Linked DNA regions of Canis lupus familiaris. The protein of the gene in region 2 binds, or shares a complex with, the protein of the main gene of each other region. Links are inferred from orthologs where the notes say so. Each region holds a gene or a part of one and is shown on either strand. Other genes may lie near its edges.

Evidence for each region. The genes of interacting proteins can lie anywhere in the genome.
Region 1: POLR3F (region 2) and POLR3K share a complex: the UniProt entries of both Homo sapiens proteins name them as parts of the RNA polymerase III complex. The link is inferred for Canis lupus familiaris from reciprocal best matches to the Homo sapiens genes POLR3F and POLR3K.

Annotation. Positions count from the first base shown.
Region 1 is NC_049227.1:40,886,475-40,890,532, reverse strand, and holds the start of POLR3K (DNA-directed RNA polymerase III subunit RPC10), read right to left. Parts: upstream 2,821-4,058; 5' UTR 2,772-2,820; coding exon 2,661-2,771; intron 1,915-2,660; coding exon 1,827-1,914; intron 373-1,826; coding exon 245-372; 3' UTR 1-244. Other genes in the region: SNRNP25 (U11/U12 small nuclear ribonucleoprotein 25 kDa protein), read left to right, coding at 3,137-3,178, 3,851-3,941. UniProt on the Homo sapiens protein: Core component of RNA polymerase III (Pol III) which synthesizes small non-coding RNAs using the four ribonucleoside triphosphates as substrates. Can mediate Pol I proofreading of the nascent RNA transcript.
Region 2 is NC_049245.1:5,111,723-5,115,283, forward strand, and holds part of POLR3F (DNA-directed RNA polymerase III subunit RPC6), read right to left. Parts: intron 2,594-3,561; coding exon 2,526-2,593; intron 2,152-2,525; coding exon 2,131-2,151; intron 2,003-2,130; coding exon 1,935-2,002; intron 593-1,934; coding exon 480-592; intron 1-479. UniProt on the Homo sapiens protein: DNA-dependent RNA polymerase catalyzes the transcription of DNA into RNA using the four ribonucleoside triphosphates as substrates.

The DNA of each region.
Region 1 (4,058 bases), on a different chromosome or scaffold from region 2:
AACAGGATATTAAAAAGAACACACTTACTTATGTATACCCTTCCCTGCACACACAATCCCCCTGGATATAAATGAGCTCATCCGCTGACTGCCAGATGGGCTGGTACCCTGACCAGCTCCCGTGAAAGGGTTAGCTTTTGGCCACATCAGCAGAGACAGTTCAGGACAAACAGTTCACACTCCTGGCTGTGAATCCACCCTAGGGAACAAGGTAGGCAGACAATGACACAGCTGGATCCTGGCCCTAGTCCCTCCAGCGGTGTCCACACTGAGCATTGCAGCACTTGTAGAAGGTGGTCATCGGCTCGTCTGCAGAGCGAGTCTGAAGCTGCATGAAATAGGCACGAGGATGTTCGCATTTAGGACATGACTCTGGCAACGAGAAAAACAAGTGACCCACATTATGCTCATGACCAAACACACCTGCTAGAAGTAGGTAGGTATTAACACACCAAATCCCTCCCCGACCCCAATCATCTGGCATCCCCTGCCTAGGGCACCTTGCGCCATGACTGAAAGGCTGTAATTAGTGGCATCATTCCCACTACACTCTCACACTGAGGGGACTTGTGACCCTGGAAAACACTCCTGCTCCCCTCCCTGAGTCCCATTTTTCTTCTCAAATCTGGTTGAAGACTAGCTGGAAATGTGACATGAAATGTGGCTTATGGCTACCATGTGCATGATGGGGTCCACTCTGGGCAGATTCTTCCAAGTGCATCTCCATCACCTAAGCCCTCTCAACTTCCTGGAGGAGCCCCCAGGGGATGACAAATCCACTTCCCATTAAATTTAGGGATCCATCTCGGCAGCAGTTCCTCAGGCCGTTCTTATGAAGACCTCACCATACAACCCACACCTTTGCCAAATACCTCAAGGCAAAGTGACTTCAGTTCGGGAAACTGACCCTATGCTTGATAATGCCTTCAAACACTCACAAACAGCACTTTGAACATTAGGTACCAAAATCATCTTCTTTTCTTTCCTGGCAAATTCTGCCAATGCTAATTTTACCATATCAGATTTAGATGTTCTTCTATGGGGGAGAAAAGATAATACTAAACAGGAGTTGGGTCTTCCTCCGCTCAACACAGATGTGTTTAGGGCTCTCTTCTTTCCTTCCCTGGTCACATCTACCTCTATCAGACAGGAAACAAGACTTGAAATAAACATGTGAATGCTCTCTGCCATCAGCTTTTAAAAATCTACACCAGGAAGAAAAATAAATAAATAAATAAATAAATAAATAAACAAACAAACAAACGAATGAATGAATAAATTAATTAATTAAAAATAAAAATCTACACCAGGGATCCCTGGGTGGCTCAGTGGTTGAGCATCTGCCTTCTGCTCAGGGTGTGACCCCGGGGGGTCCCAGGATCGAGTCCCACATCGGGCTCCTGTATGGGGCCTGCTTCTCCCTCTGCCTGTGTCTCTGTCTCTGCGTCTCTCATGAATACATAAATAAAATATTTTTTAGAGATAATTAATTTTAAAAAAGATCCACAACTGAACAAATGGACCATATACTCTTCCTTAGGCTCCGACTTTCATTACTGCCATCGGTTGCTCCCCGCACAGCCGCCACTTGAGGACCACGCTAGAGGCCAAGTGCTGCGGGGCTCCCTTCACGCTCTCACAACGGAGGGAGGCCACCAAGGTCATGCGATGTTAAGAGGCTGTGGCTTTGAGACTAACCCACACCTGTACGTCTCTGGGGTTTATGCCAATATTGCCTGTGTAAGAAATAAATCACTAAAGAAGAAAATACACACGCTATTTTTAGGAGCTTCCTTCCTCAAAGGCAGCGCGGCCTCAGCTCTCACCTGCGGTGGAGTCCACGTTCTCCCAGGCCGCCGCGCCGCCGAGCACATCGTCCACTTCTTTCAGCTTCGGGTACTTCCGGTTGGTGACCTGGCGAAAGGCGGCAGGTGTTCAGGCCGCGGGTAGGGGCGCGGTGCTGACCCGGCCGCCGACTGCCCTCCTCCCCGCGGGCTGCACGATCCTGGGCAGCCGCGTCTCTACACCCGCGGCGCAGGGCTCGGCCCGGGTCCAGGGGCTCCAGCGTCGGGCCGGCCCAAGAGGCGGATGCAGCCGGGACCCCCCACCCCACCCCGTCCACGCTCGGCCCGGGCCCTCCGCGCAGGCCCCCGGCTCCGTCCCGGGCGTCGCGGCGGCGGCCCCAACTCCCGCGGGCAGCTCGGGGCGGGCGGTGCGCCGCGGCTCCGTCCAGGGCCCGGGTTGGGGCCGCAGCACCGACCCCAGGCACGCAAGTCCCGTAGAGGCGTGTCCGCAGGTGACCCGAGTCCGCCAGAGCCACGCTGCTCGGCACGACCCAAACACGGCGAGGCTGCGGGCGGGGCGGGGAGGGCAGCGGGAGCACGTGCAAAGGCCCGGCGGCCGTGTCGGTGCGCGGCGCGGGCTGCTCCCCGGGGGCTGGCGGCGTCGGCCCGGACCCGCAGTCAGCCGCGCCAGCGCACAGGGCGGGCCTGATCCGGCCACGGCTCCGACGAGGCCGCCCGGGCCGCCGCCGGGGACGCCGCCACGGGAGCCGGGTGAGGCCAGGCCGCTCCCGATACGGCGGGGGGCGGGGGCGGGGCCGCTGGAGCACCCCGGCGGGGCGGGCGTCGGCTGCTGGGCGGGGGGCGGCGGGTGATCACCTTGCGCGTGATGTTGTGCACGTAGGGGCAGGTGTTGCAGGCGAAGCGGTGGCAGCGCTGTCCCTCCTCCACGATCAGCCCGTTCCCGCAGCCCGGACAGAAGAGCAGCATGGCTGCCCCGCGCGCTCCCGGCAGCCCCTGCGGCCGCGGGGCGCCGGCGTCGGGCCCGTCGCGAGCTCCCATTGGCCCGGGCCGCCGCCGCCCCAATGGCCGGGCCGGGTTGGCGCTCCCAGCAGCCCCTGCGGCAGGCCGCCTCGAGCCTCCCATCGGTCCCCGTGGCAGCCCCGCCCCTCGCGGCCGGAAGCGGCGGCGGCGCGGTCGGAGCGCGGGGCTGGGCGGGCGCCCTGGAGCCGGCGGAGGCCGAGGCCGAGGCGGAGGCGGCGGCGGCGCGGCCCGAGGCGCCCGAGGCCGAGGAGGATGAAGAGGAGGCGCTGCCGCACTCCGAGGCGGTGGACGTGTTCCAGGAGGGGCTCGCCATGGTGGTGCAGGACCCGCTGCTCTGCGACCTCCCGATCCAGGTGCGCGGCGGGACCTCGGTGCCTGACCTCCCCCTGTGGGCGCCAGAGGTGACGATGCGGCGGGCCTCGATTCTCCCGTGTCCTTTAAGGACCTCACTGACCCGAGCACGAGCGGGGGCAGCAGGGGACAGGGACAGGCGGACGGTCGTCCGGTCCCAAGGCGGACCCCGACGGCGCCCCGGGCGCCCCGGGCGCGGCTGCGCTGCAGGTGCAGGTTCTAAGGTCGTTTCCGTAGTTGAGGCTCAAGTGGGGAGAACGGCTCCACCCCGGGACTCCGCATCGAGATTCGCGCCCCGCCCGAGGACGTTCACTCCTGGGTTGGGCGCCCCGGTCACCCTCGCACACCGGCCTCCCCTCCCCCCCCCGCCCGGTGTCGCCCTGGATCCCGGACTGACCGCGCCTCCTCCTTCCCAGCCCCAGAGCCCAGATCTGGCGCTCACCCTCTCCTGTTTCAGCGCTCCTCTTTTCCTGAGCTTTAATGCACTTTGCACATTAAACACTTTTAAAATGTAGGTGCAACCGGGAAACCCTAGCATAGAAGTAAGAAATCTTGTCTCTCGTCTTTCGTAAGATACGGCACTGCTTTTCCGATGCTATCCGCTTGTCTTGTCTTGTGGTTTGGGATAGCAAAGGCAGCCAAGGCTCCCACCTCCACCATTGGTCTTTCTGCAGGTTACTTTGGAAGAAGTCAATTCCCAGATAGCACTAGAATATGGCCAAGCGATGACAGTCCGCGTGTGCAAGATGGATGGAGAGATAATGCGTAAGTGCTCGCCCTCTCCCTGCGGACCCTGCAGTCCAAGCTGTCACGCAGACAAGACGCTGCCATGGCTGCTCAGGGGAAACTCAAGAGCCATGTACGTCGAAGGGCATCGGGGCA
Region 2 (3,561 bases):
GTAATAGGGGTGGGATAGGATGAGGAGGAGAAATACTACATACTAGAAGAGACACTTTATCAGGGCAGAGATCTTTCCCTGACTTGTTCATTAATGTATCCCAAACACCCAAACAGTGCCTGGCACAGAGCAAACACACAATAGATATTTGTTGAATGAGTAATCTAATTTGCTAGAATGAAGTAAACTATCTTACACGCTGAAAATCCATGAAAAATGTTCATGATTCCAAAAATTCTTTACTGAAGAATACAGTAGTTTTACCTTTTCAAGGGGGTAAGACACAAAGAATTAACCAGGCAGTGATAAATGTAAGTAACATCTCCAAACCAATTCAATATAAACGAAATTTTTAAAAATCTTTTTGACTAGTAGTTTTAAATCATGACATAGCCTAAAGAACAAGAAGATCTTGAAACATACTTGGAGCAATACACATACAGTGAACACTTGGGGGAAGGAAAGAGAAAAATACTCACTGCCACAGACTTAACAGCTTTGATAAGCTTTTTACTTTCCAAATTCTTTAGAATTTTGTTAATTTCTGTTAATGGCAAGTTACTTTTGTATCGGATATCTCTGCTCCATATTCCTGTAAGAAAGTAAAGTAAAATGAGTTCAACGCCATAGGATTTGTGTTTGTAGTCCACGTGCCAAAACTAGCAAAATATGTATACTATTCCTAGGGCATAGTTATAGGAAAAACAGTGACTTAGAGGTAAGAATCTCAGATAACAACAAAAGTATGCAAAATGATAAAAGAAGTTATGCGCTATGTCTTCTAACCAGAAATTTCTTGGAATCCTAGTGTGGCACCTTTTTAAAAACATATGAAAAAGATACTTTTTAATGGAGAAAAATCTTGAATGTTACTGAATTAACTTATTGTCTCTTCCACCCCCTCCTATACCCCAAATTCTGTTTCCTATTATTTATACTTCAGATCGTATTTAGATTATAACTTAAGTTTGGGCCAAGGTCAGCTATCACCGCCAACAGAGTGCAAAAAACTGCATGTGAACATGTGTGTGCATATATACCCATTATTTATACACTATATTTAGGAGATGAAAAAAAGGAAGACTGCAATTCTCACAGCCACTAAAAGCCCTTTACAAGAAGGTAGGATTTCAAAGAAGGGTTGTATGTGGAATTTTATAGAAAATGTGTTACCTTAAAAAAAAAATTAAAAAAATTAAAAAATAAAAGAAAAAGAAAATGTGTTACCTTATTTTCTTCCCAGCACAGAGGCATAATGTGATAGGAAGATAGATTTTTTAAAAATAGAGAATGGCTTTTGTCATGTCTATTTTAAAAATATTAAACACCTAATAATACAAGAATGATATTTCAAATTATATCATTGTTGATACATTGTTGAAATTATCATTGGACTCAGATCCTAAACTCTAGGATTAACAGCAATTTAGATATAGTTCCGTAAGGGGATAGAGAAAAACTGAACAGTTGCTGAGGGACCTCTGTCAGACACTGCCACACTGCACTGGACATCCCTTTGGTTTTTGCAAAAACTAGAGAGATGGATTATCCACAAGTTACAGATAAGATGAAGTTAAAGAAATGAAGGCCGTCAAAGAAAGTGAGGATTGGGAAAAAAAAAAAAAAAAAAAACCCTTAAGTTTTAGCTGATTTATTTTGAATAGATAGTACATTCCCACAGTTCAGAATTCAGAAGTTTCTTTCCATCCTGGCCCCCAGCCATCTAGCCCCTGCCTGCGTTGAGGCAACAGCAACGGCATCACACCTGGGTGTCCTGCAAGCATATGTATATTATATATTTCTACTTCCCCTTCTTTTAACATACATGGAAGCATTCTCTACATATGGATCTGTATCCTGGGAAGCCAGAACTCAGTTCCTATTTCTGGTCTTAAAGATGATGACTTTTTCTGCTTCTTCCTTTACCTGCTTACCTTTATTTCCTGCATCCTCTATGATTTGATATACTAGTTTTTCTTGGTTATCTGATCCTTTCATTTTACTGCAGGGGAATAAAGTAGAATTAAAAAGACAAAGAGATACAGGATAATCTAATAATCTACATAATTACTTTAATGAATTAGCAGACAAGGTCATCACATTGACTTATTTACCAAAAGAAGGGCTTACCTTAAAAAGAATGAGACAGGGCTGTATGTACCAGAATGAAAAGATGTCCAAGATATAGTAAGTGAAAAAAACAAGTTGCAAAACAGTATGGATAGCATGATCCCATTTTTGTTAAAAAAAAAAAAGAAAAAAAAAGAAAAAAAAAGAAAAGAGATTATATATAGTATATAAATATATAATCATTTCTATATATTTATATATATACCTAGAAGAAAGGACATATACCAAATTATTAAGAGCAGTTATCTCTGAGAAATGGAACTCATGATAAGAGGTGGGGATGGTATGCAGGACAGGTTTACATTATGCAATTCTATGTTGACTTTTTCCCAAAAAAACATAGGTTACATTTGTAATAATTAAAGTTTCTTACAATAAAAAAATTAGGTGCTTACCCAGCATTCTGAGAATCCTTTATTCTATACAGAAGGCCTGTATTGCTCCTTAAGAGATCCAACTGACCCTAAAGTTTTTTTTTTAATAGAAAATAACAATGAATTATCTTGGAGATACTTCAAATCAACCACAAATGTTCACGTATTCTTTAAAATTTTACACAAACCAAAATATCCTACCCCACAAAATTATTTGTTAGTTCCTCACTCGAGACTTAAGTTTTTACCTACATATCACATGTAATATATTTTTGAAACCATTTTTGAAACTTAGGTTGTCATTTTCCAAAATATAAATACTTAACAATTTCTTATATGCTATACCCTAGCTTAGTTATATGATCAATGCATAAAGAATTCTGAACAGCTTTAGAATAATAAATAAAAATCTATATTTGAATTCAAATAAATTCAACAAATGTATAATATAAACTTAAAAATGAAAATAATTTATATAAAGATTTCAAATGAAGAATAACATGCATAAATATTTTATAACATGATACAGTAAAATTTGCCAAGTTAATAGTAACATTTACTGATTTGTGTTATTTCTATTATATTACATGACAATTAGGCAGGAATATCACGCAATGAATAAAAGATGCAATAGATTTGGTTTTATATAGCAAAAGTAAAGAAAGCATGTCGGACATGCTTTTGAAATCCCTTGGGTCTGAACTTGGGAGCCCTCAGGTGGCTGTACTACCAGACTTCTGGCTGTTTGGGGAACTCATGGCTAAAGGAGCCCCCATTCTCATCAGTTAAGACTGGGCTGACACAGGACTTGGAAACAGGTTTACATATGAATGAACAGCAATTGTCCCTGGACCCCACTAAGTAGCAAAATCAAACCACAAAGTTCCATTTGTAGGTTGTTTAATTCAGCCTATGAACGTTTACCGAACATCCATACTGTGATATATGACTGGGGGGCGGGGGGGGGGTCATGGATATGACCCGGGCTGCCCTTGTTTTTATAAAGTTTTACTGGAATGCAGCCATGCTCATTTCTTAATGTATGGCCCATGGCTAC